Linked DNA regions of Saccharomyces cerevisiae S288C. Changing the gene in region 1 together with any one later gene gives a genetic interaction. Each region holds a gene or a part of one and is shown in the gene's direction. Other genes may lie near its edges. The genes, in order: BRE4, DET1 and NBA1.

What was found.
Region 2: mutations in BRE4 (region 1) and DET1 together harm fitness more than expected from each alone (negative genetic interaction), as found in Saccharomyces cerevisiae (one large-scale study listed by BioGRID).
Region 3: mutations in BRE4 (region 1) and NBA1 together harm fitness more than expected from each alone (negative genetic interaction), as found in Saccharomyces cerevisiae (one large-scale study listed by BioGRID).

The regions. Positions count from the first base shown.
Region 1 is NC_001136.10:40,486-44,244, reverse strand, and holds the start of BRE4 (Bre4p), read left to right. Parts: upstream 1-2,000; coding exon 2,001-3,759. Other genes in the region: Hsp70 family ATPase SSB1, read right to left, coding at 1-180; tyrosine protein phosphatase PTP1, read right to left, coding at 538-1,545.
Region 2 is NC_001136.10:556,397-560,008, reverse strand, and holds DET1 (acid phosphatase DET1), read left to right. Parts: upstream 1-1,948; coding exon 1,949-2,953; downstream 2,954-3,612. Other genes in the region: protein serine/threonine kinase activating protein DBF4, read left to right, coding at 1-1,498; triose-phosphate isomerase TPI1, read left to right, coding at 3,537-3,612. UniProt on the Saccharomyces cerevisiae protein: Metal-independent, broad-range acid phosphatase. Involved, either directly or indirectly, in the bidirectional transport of sterols between the endoplasmic reticulum and the plasma membrane.
Region 3 is NC_001147.6:196,561-200,291, reverse strand, and holds NBA1 (Nba1p), read left to right. Parts: upstream 1-1,566; coding exon 1,567-3,072; downstream 3,073-3,731. Other genes in the region: kinetochore-associated Ndc80 complex subunit NUF2, read right to left, coding at 1-1,350; succinate dehydrogenase assembly factor SDH5, read right to left, coding at 3,297-3,731.

The DNA.
Region 1 (3,759 bases):
TTGGTTCTTGGCAGCATCACCAATCAATCTTTCTTCTGGAGTGAAAGCAACGAAAGATGGGGTGACTCTGTTACCTTGTTCGTTGGCAATAATTTCAACGGAGGATTCGTAAGTAGCAACACAAGAGTAGGTTGTACCTAAATCGATACCGATAGCACCTTGGAAAACACCTTCAGCCATTTTGTTCAATTAAAATACTGTAATGATCTTGGGACATCTGAAAATCCAAAAGCAAGAAACATTTTTTAAAGAAGGAAAAGCAAAGCGACAATAACTAATTAATCTTTATATAAAAAGAGATGAGTACTACAAAAGAAACGTCGAGCGAAGATGAAAAATTTTTCTTTTTTTTTTTTTCAGTTGCGTGCTATAAAAAAAAAAAAAAAAAGATTCATCCATACTTCCCGTTCGAAATGATCATAAATAACTGCGGTGTATGGGCTATGTTCCCATGACAACGAAGCTAGAATATAATTATAAGGATGAATAAGTATTGTTATTGAAAAAATGCACAATTAGGAACTTTTATATAGCTGTCTATTGGTTCACGGAAAGACTGTTAAGATACTTGGCAGCATGGTAGATAAATAGGAACTGATCCTTTGTCTGAACCATTTTCATTCTTTGCGAGCGCAACTGTAACACGATCTGTTCGATCAAGTCCCGTGTGTACTCCTCTGTAGCCCTGTCTGAATGCCTTGACCGTTCTGTAATATTTTTAAAATCCAAGGTATCATGCATGAGATGATCTAGGGCAATGAACGTCCCCGTTCTGCCCACGCCTGCGGAACAGTGTACGATAATGGGGTTCCCGCGGGAATTCAAGCTGTGGGAGTGAGCGCATAATTCCATTATGGGTACTACTTCCTCTGGCTTGTTCATATCTTTCCAAAGGTCGAAGTAAAAGTGGTGAACAGTTTTGACAGGTCCTACAAGAGGGTCCGTGGGTGTGAGTTTGATATCGGTGACCGTATAATAGTCCTTCACCTTATGTACGTTAACAAACTCTATTTTCAAATCAGAGGGAAATTGAGTCATATCATTGGCGCCGCCCGGACTTTCCCATTTTGATGCTATTCTAACCGTATCGTCTACACCACCGCGAGGCCAGTACTGGTAGCACTTCTCCCTATTGTATTCTACCAGAGGCGTGACCATCACAATGACAATATTGTCTAAAGGACAATTGTGATAGCACATTTGCCAAAACTGATCCCAAGTTTTACGCGTGGGACCTTGAGTAGCAATATAGTAGCCCGGTTCGATGCTCTGCCCTGGCACGTTCACTTTGACATACGAGGCATTAATGTAATCATTCCCGGATAGAGTCTTCAAATGAACGCGGTTCCTCTCATACGGCATAATGTTAACGTATCTGTTTCTAGCATCGTTACGAGGTTCTATGCTGACCCCCAACGACCATCGTGAATTCACCGTTCCGTTTGTAGCTTCCCTTAATCTGCCGTCTTCTTGATTCTGTATGAACTTGAATTTACCCAATAAATCCGTGTCACGCTGTCTAATATACCATGGTGCAGCTGCCATCTCCACTGTCGCAAACTACTACTAACAAACGCTTTTCTTGATAACTCCTCGATGAACCCTTTTCCTCAATAAAATGTAAATATAGTTTGCCTTCCTCTTAATAGTGTGTACAAATGAATTTTTCTAATACTAAACGCCCTAAAAATGACCTAATTAAATATTACGTTAACCTAAAAAAGTACAAAGAAAAAAATGGAACACCTACAAATTATAAACAATAACCCTGTCGCCCAAAGTTAGGTTTCCGATAAGACTTTTCAGTGAACAAAATCTGGAAATGAAAGGCGATATAACATTATCAAAGATGATTATGTATAGATTGCGTGAAATACGCGCAGGAAAACGAGTTTAAGCGTCACTAACACTTTAATCAATTTAAAGTTCATTTTTAACTTGCTTTGTGCTCCACTAAGGAAAGCATGTACAGTATAGTGCTGGAATTGTAACAGGTCCTCATGAAAAGATATGAGCGAGATCGAAGTCCCACTCCTGATCCTGATATTGTGAAAGGTTCATACTCTCAAACATCACTCAGGTCACTACATGAACTTAACTATAAGAATCCTGCCGGTATAAGCGGGCTTAGCTTTGCAGGAAGCCCACAACAATCCGTGGCATCCTTATCGCAAATGCGGCTGGAAAATTTGGTTAAGGACAAACACTGGGAGGAAGTAGAGGACTTTGGGCTGGAAGAGCTGAGAGATGGGTTTTTTGATGCTGCTTTTACCAAGCCGGACAGCAAAGCTAGGTCTCCTAACAGCGACATCGATGACGACAATGGCGCTGCAAGGAAAAAACTGCAATCTGGTTTTACCAAGCTTTCCGAATATGTTTGGACTGCTATCTACAGGCCCATTATTCATTTCCCTAGAGATATTAGAAAAAATGGGGTATCCATATTCAAGTTTTTTATTGCTTATTTCATTGCTATCGTGATTTGCGTTATCAGGCCTTCTGGTAGGTGGATTGGCCATGAGTTCAGGTATTTTCTACCCATCGCAGTACTTATACATCATCCGGTCAGAAATATTGGTGTTCAACTGGAAATGACTATAAGCTCCATTATCGGCGCAAGTTTTGGCCTGGGATGGTCGGCTTTGGCATGGTACATTTCCACAGCGACAAAGCCGACCGCAAACTACCAGGGAGGAATTTTATTTCAGAGTCTGACTATGGCCCTCTTATTTGCCATCTGGCTAAGGTCTGTTTACCGTCGGTTCTTCTATTTCACAACTTCGTTTTCGATATCGATTATATTCACTCATACAGTTCGGTTGGCCTCATCCAAGTTTGATTTGAAGTGGCAAATTTTTTGGGATTTTGGAATCTCATATCTCTTCGGCCTTTTGCTATCTCTCTTGGTTTGTGTATGTGTATCACCACATAGTGGCAATGCAGAGTTAATGGAACATTATAACAAGTGTCTACAGACCACAAAGACCTTTTTAATGGCACTAGTAGATACTGAATTAATAAAGTCCAAAGAACAAATTTACCTAGCCCAAGTAAAAATGGTGAAAACACTAAACATTGATTTATCTCAAGGTTTTAGAGATTTTGTAAATCAGTTGACAATTTCCAGGTTTGACCTTCAATCGTTGAAGAGTTTAAGAAATTCTTTAACTGCCATGGAAACTTCTCTGAGAGTATTACCCATTGCACCCAAAATTTTTAATGATGATGAATTGAAAAAGATGTATGAAGAATTGGAGAAGTATAGATCGGATTCTGCGACCCTGAGCAAAGAAGCAAGCGCTAGCCCTCAATCTTCAGGAATTCCAACAAGAGAAAACACGCCCAGTGCCTTTAAGCCTATCGGTCCGGGGCTTTTAAAAAATGAAATCTACATTAATGCATTAAAGGCGTCCTTCTCGAAAAGCATCTTCAACTTAATACTGGAAATGATCTTCGTTTTGGAAAATCTATCAAGAGTACTAAAGAAATACGAGTCTCCAAATCAAAAAAACAACTTAGATGAGTGTGTCAAAATATTAAGTCACTCGCATTCTAAATTAAAGAGGAAAATTTACAAACTAGATGTTTGTTACAGGGATTTTGTGAATTCTAGTTTTTTTTCACAGGAACTGTTGAATGACGAAGAGTCTGTCGATATTTTCCTTTTTCTAAGATATTTGAGAAACTCCGCAAGGCAGCTAGTTACTGTTATCCACGATTGCCAAGTTTTGGGTGAGAATATTCACTGGAGAATTGCTC
Region 2 (3,612 bases), 520 kb from region 1:
GGCTGCCAGATTTCTGAAAAATCTTGATGTTGATTTGGATCATTTGAGCAAGACTAAATCTGCTTCTTTAGCTGCGCCCACATTGTCCAATCTTCTACACAATGAAAAATTATATGGACCAACGGATAGAGACCCCAGAACTAAAAGAGACGATATTCACTACTTTAAATATCCTCATGTATACCTTTATGACCTATGGCAAACTTGGGCCCCCATAATAACTTTGGAATGGAAACCTCAAGAACTAACAAACTTAGACGAACTACCTTACCCAATATTGAAAATAGGTTCATTCGGAAGATGCCCTTTTATAGGGGATAGGAATTATGACGAAAGTTCTTATAAGCGCGTAGTAAAGAGATACTCGAGAGACAAAGCAAACAAAAAATATGCACTGCAACTTCGTGCTCTATTTCAATATCATGCCGACACCTTACTGAATACGTCATCAGTTAATGATCAAACGAAAAACCTAATATTCATACCTCACACATGCAACGATTCTACCAAGAGCTTCAAAAAATGGATGCAAGAAAAGGCAAAAAATTTTGAGAAGACCGAGTTAAAGAAGACGGATGATAGCGCAGTTCAAGATGTTCGTAATGAACATGCTGACCAAACCGATGAAAAAAATAGTATATTATTAAATGAAACTGAAACCAAAGAGCCTCCGTTGAAAGAAGAAAAAGAAAATAAACAATCTATAGCAGAAGAATCGAATAAGTACCCACAGCGAAAAGAGCTGGCTGCCACACCAAAACTAAACCATCCAGTATTAGCTACTTTTGCAAGGCAAGAAACTGAAGAAGTGCCGGATGATTTGTGCACTTTGAAAACAAAGTCACGTCAGGCATTTGAAATCAAAGCAAGTGGTGCACATCAATCTAATGATGTGGCAACCTCTTTTGGCAATGGTTTGGGCCCAACAAGAGCAAGCGTCATGAGTAAGAACATGAAGTCATTAAGTAGACTAATGGTTGATAGAAAGCTGGGAGTAAAGCAGACAAATGGAAATAACAAAAATTATACAGCCACTATAGCAACTACTGCTGAAACATCAAAGGAAAATAGACACAGATTAGATTTTAATGCTTTGAAAAAAGACGAAGCCCCTTCGAAAGAGACGGGCAAAGATAGTGCTGTACACTTAGAAACTAATAGAAAGCCCCAGAATTTCCCTAAGGTAGCTACCAAATCAGTCTCCGCAGACTCCAAAGTTCATAATGACATCAAGATAACAACCACAGAATCTCCAACAGCATCGAAGAAATCAACTTCCACAAACGTCACCTTACATTTTAACGCACAGACAGCACAGACAGCACAGCCGGTGAAGAAAGAAACGGTAAAAAATTCCGGATACTGTGAAAATTGTCGTGTAAAATACGAATCTTTAGAACAACACATAGTTTCTGAGAAGCATTTGTCTTTCGCTGAAAACGATTTAAATTTTGAGGCTATTGACTCGTTAATTGAAAATCTCAGATTTCAAATATAGGGACACGACGTAAAGTGCAGTAGCTTTTAGTGATAAAATCAAAATAGTATTGTTCCGTTTCCATTGCTGCTCGGAACAAAAAAGCTATCAACGGCAATGTTATTGAATCACTTTCTCATTCACCCTTGTTACTTTCTTGCTATTGACTTAACTCTTATTTACTCGTCCATATATTATCAATTGCATATATATACATATACATATATATATTATCATCTAGATTAATTACCGTTCATATCATAACTCATTCTGAACAAATAATGATCGAGTACCCACCGCGGTTAATGTCCCAGTTTTCATTTTTACCCGATATCCTGCAGAGACCGAGAGGCATGAAAAAAAAAAAGCTAGTTCTCAACTGCATTAATTGCAGCTCGTATTCATGGTTCAACATAAAAGAACTTACGCTACAGCATTCCATTTGAATAACTCAGAGTATTAGTAAAAGAAATGTGTGAAGAGAATGTTCATGTTAGTGAAGATGTTGCTGGCAGTCACGGTTCTTTTACGAATGCCAGACCTAGGTTAATTGTACTAATAAGGCATGGGGAAAGCGAATCAAATAAAAACAAGGAGGTCAATGGTTATATTCCTAACCATCTGATTTCTTTAACGAAAACAGGTCAAATCCAAGCTAGACAAGCTGGTATTGACTTATTACGTGTTTTAAACGTAGACGATCACAACTTGGTGGAGGATTTGGCTAAGAAGTATATTAAAGATGAAAGTAGCAGGAGAACTTTACCGCTGAAGGACTATACCAGGCTGAGTAGAGAAAAAGACACAAACATAGTTTTTTATACATCACCCTATAGAAGAGCAAGGGAAACATTGAAAGGTATTTTGGACGTCATCGATGAATATAATGAATTAAACAGTGGTGTTCGTATATGTGAAGATATGAGATATGATCCACATGGTAAACAGAAACATGCATTTTGGCCGAGAGGACTTAATAATACTGGTGGTGTTTACGAAAATAATGAAGATAATATTTGTGAAGGGAAGCCTGGAAAATGTTATCTGCAATATCGGGTTAAGGATGAGCCAAGAATAAGGGAACAAGATTTTGGTAATTTCCAAAAAATCAATAGCATGCAGGACGTTATGAAGAAGAGATCTACGTATGGTCATTTCTTCTTCAGATTCCCTCATGGAGAAAGTGCGGCAGATGTATATGACAGAGTCGCCAGTTTCCAAGAGACTTTATTCAGGCACTTCCATGATAGGCAAGAGAGAAGACCCAGAGATGTTGTTGTCCTAGTTACACATGGTATTTATTCCAGAGTATTCCTGATGAAATGGTTTAGATGGACATACGAAGAGTTTGAATCGTTTACCAATGTTCCTAACGGGAGCGTAATGGTGATGGAACTGGACGAATCCATCAATAGATACGTCCTGAGGACCGTGCTACCCAAATGGACTGATTGTGAGGGAGACCTAACTACATAGTGTTTAAAGATTACGGATATTTAACTTACTTAGAATAATGCCATTTTTTTGAGTTATAATAATCCTACGTTAGTGTGAGCGGGATTTAAACTGTGAGGACCTTAATACATTCAGACACTTCTGCGGTATCACCCTACTTATTCCCTTCGAGATTATATCTAGGAACCCATCAGGTTGGTGGAAGATTACCCGTTCTAAGACTTTTCAGCTTCCTCTATTGATGTTACACCTGGACACCCCTTTTCTGGCATCCAGTTTTTAATCTTCAGTGGCATGTGAGATTCTCCGAAATTAATTAAAGCAATCACACAATTCTCTCGGATACCACCTCGGTTGAAACTGACAGGTGGTTTGTTACGCATGCTAATGCAAAGGAGCCTATATACCTTTGGCTCGGCTGCTGTAACAGGGAATATAAAGGGCAGCATAATTTAGGAGTTTAGTGAACTTGCAACATTTACTATTTTCCCTTCTTACGTAAATATTTTTCTTTTTAATTCTAAATCAATCTTTTTCAATTTTTTGTTTGTATTCTTTTCTTGCTTAAATCTATAACTACAAAAAACACATACATAAACTAAAAATGGCTAGAACTTTCTTTGTCGGTGGTAACTTTAAATTAAACGGTTCCAAACAATCCATTAAGGAAATTGTTGAAA
Region 3 (3,731 bases), on another chromosome or scaffold:
CATATATTCGAGCATTTCATTCATGTATTTATTAATATGACCAGATAATAAAGAATATTCAATCTCAATTTCTTTAACTTCAACTTCGAAATCTTTTTGTAATTGTTTAATTTCATCATTTAATTTATTGATTTTACCACTGATCAGTTCCTCTTGAATGAAAATGTCCGTTTTGTCAATCTTAGGTTTGATTTCATTTTCATATTTGATTTGTAGATCCATCAATTTAGTATCATTTAGGCGCGACTCTTCTTTAGTATCTTGCGATAGCTTTTCCAAATTCTTGAGTTGCAAATCTAACTGTTCTTGTAAGATTTCTAATTTATACATAATACCTGTTTCCAATACATTCATCAATTTCAGCTTATTGTTGATTAAATTTTGCTTTAATCCCACAAGTTCCGTTTCAGTTCGATTAGACTCTTGCACCTCGCTGGAAATTATTCTCAGCACATCATAGAGCTCACTAATTATGGTTTCGAACGTCGTCACTGTATCTTGCAAGTTTTTCTGTTGTGCGGTTAAGTCGTCTAACGTCTTTTTCCTTTGTATCAACAGATCATTTAGCTCTTTGATTCCCTCGGATAACTCTTCCATGTCTGTATTGGATATTTTGATCAGTTTATCTCGATTGGACTCTAATTCCACTATTTGGAAACTCAGAGCTTCCAGATCTTTAAAGATTGACTGCTTGGAGATCTTATAGTCATTATAATCTATGGATAACGTTTCTTGGATCTTGGTCAATTTCTTCAACTGAATTTCCAGCTCCTTATTTTGCTCTTCCAGCTTTTGGAGCTCTTGCTCATCAGGTATATTATCCCCATCTACGTCCTCGTATTGCTTTAGCTGTTGCTGAATCAAGTTATAATCATCGAATTTGGAGCGAAGCTGACCCAGCAACGATTCCATTTGAAGAATAAAAGAATTACAGTCGAACATTCGTTCCTCCCTAAAACGAGCGTAATTCACCACAGCACTCAGTAAGCGCTGTGTCCGTTGGGCTTCGGGCTTGTACAAATCTGTCATATTGAAATCTTGAACACCTATGTTCTCAAAGAACTTAAAGCAGATTTTGTTCAATACCAAAACATTTAACGTGTCCAAATAAATGTTCTCGTTCTCTTCCTGTAAGTGACCATCCCCTGTTTCTTGGTTACTACTATTCAGCAACGACTCTACAGAAATACCCATGAAGTTCTCGATGATTTGTTTGTAAAGGGTTACCATGTAGTCTGAGGTGGGCCTAGAGATATTTTCCTGTGTGGCTAGCGCAAAATCACAGCTTTGCAAACATATAACTAGTTCCTGTAGATCCAAAATGGGGAACACATCTTGATTCCTACTCATTTTGCTCAAGGGATGCTGGAGCCTTTCTCCTCAGTACATGCTTTTTACCAGTATTTTTTCATAATATTGTTTATTTTAATTGTTATTGTTTGTTACATGTCCCGATTCGGAAAAGCGATCTTTTGATCAAATGGCTGGCACCATCAAGAAGAGAAAGAACGCTGATATATTCGACTAACAAGAAGACCATTATCAAAACCAGATAGGTGTATAAGTATGTCAGAAGAGAGGGAAGAAAACGGGATATCTAGGGCTACGCTGAATACGCAGCGACTTTCAGCAATGATCGATTCACTGAACAATGAGAAAGATGACAGGCTCTTTCCATCTCCCACAACTACCAGGACAATGATCACAGAGGAAAAGGCGGATCAAAGTGATGTCTTTAAACCACCATCGAGATTGTTGAGATCACCTGCTGGTGACGTTTCGCTGCCACCTGGTGATAACAGATCAAGTATGATTTCCAACTACTCTGGAATTATTCAAGAAGGCGTTGAAGTATCATATGTGGTCAAAAACCGGCAACAGACCCAAGAACGGCGCACAAGTAAGGATTCCAATAGTTTGTACTCCTTGAAAGAGCCCGTGAGCAAGAACGAGTTACCGTCGTTGCCCATGTTGCCTTCAGAAGCGACATTGACAAAACATCTAAGTGATAACCAAAGCACAAAATCGAATACCAATGCAGACGAAATTGTCATTAAACCAGTTACTAATGCCAAACCTGTGGGAAGGTTTAACTCTAACACTTCAAAAAAAGTAGAGGGTCGTGGCTCACTGAAACTGTTATCTAGTCCTCTACGTCAGGAAAAAGTTATGCGTTCCTCTATAGGATCAGGTAATTTGGCCAGCGAGAGCGGATCTTCCACTTATAATACCAAATTCCATCAATCTATTCAAGAGCAGCTCGAAGAAGAAGAGGAAGGAAATGTTAGCGATAAGCTTTCAATTGTTTCCAGTGTCATACCCGAGTTGTATACAACCACCAACGAAGCACCCAAAGCGATAAACCCAATACGTTCTGAAACCAATGACTACAATCCAACTATTCCGCCCAGAAGTAAGGACCGTCCTAGGTCAAGGTTGTTCATCGAAGAAGGTGATGGCGAGGGGGATCTTTTAACCGAAGAAATATTACCAACGCCGGTCCAACCTGGTGGCCACTATAAGAACTCATCTCAGATTTCCACAGTTAGTGAACAAAAATCGGAATCTTACTATTCTGCGGCAACGAGTATGCCTCCAGAGGAAGAGACTTACTTGACAAGACCATTGCCCAGCACACCCAATGAGGATAGCAGAGTTACATCGAATTTGAAACGTGACGACACATTGAAGGCTATTCATGATAGGGCAAATCATACCTCTACTTCGACAAACAAACAAGATGATGACATGTACGAGGACATCATTGAGGAAACGCCCAAGAAAACTAAACTCAAGAAGGATACGAAAAAAAAGCTCAATAAAAAAAAATCTGTGAAGGAATTGCGATCCTTTGATATCGACACACTAAATCAACTGTTGAGTGTGACAAAGGGAACCTTAATCGGGTCTGAATTTGCGCAACTGGGGATGAAAATTGAGGAGAAACGTGCCCTGGAGAGACTAGTAGACTCTTTGTCCAGGTTAACAGCAGACATGGTTCTTGATCCGGACCGCTATGAAGAAGGACTGAAAAGATTAGACAAAGCTACAAAGGCTCTTGAAGGGTTTTGATGGTGCAACAACAATAATAATAGTAATAGTAACAGTGGTAGTAACAATAACAATAACAATATCAATATCAATATCAATAATATATTATAATACTAATAATGAATAATAATAATAGCAATAAGTATAGTATAGTATAGTGGTAATATATAAGTTTCTTTCTCTTCCGGTTTATTTACAAGTCATATACAAATAAAAAAAAGTGATAGTAATTCAATGGCTTGTATTCATTGATACTTGGACAAGTCCGGCATACTTAAAATTTCCTTCTCTTTATTTTCACTGAATTCTTGTAGCTGCTTCAGCAATTTAGAATTGGCCCACTTGTCAGGCAAGGGGCTGGTTTTGAAATTTTTTGTGGCCCAATAGTATATGTCCCAGTCCAACTCATTCAATAGCGAATCGTATTCTTCCAGTTCCTCTTCGTTCATCTTCTTCAAATATTTGGCAGCGAACCCAGATAGCAGCAAGTCCGTCTCCAAGATCCCTCTTTTGCGTGATTGATATATCAACCGAGCTCTTTTCTTATCCAATGGCTCGTTAGTTCTCTTTATGGGGGCAATTTTAATCCTCGTCACCACATCGTCGTGGTCATCTTTATCACTACTAAACCACCTACGACCGCACGACCATGCAGCGGACCCTGTTTGAGAGTTGATAAT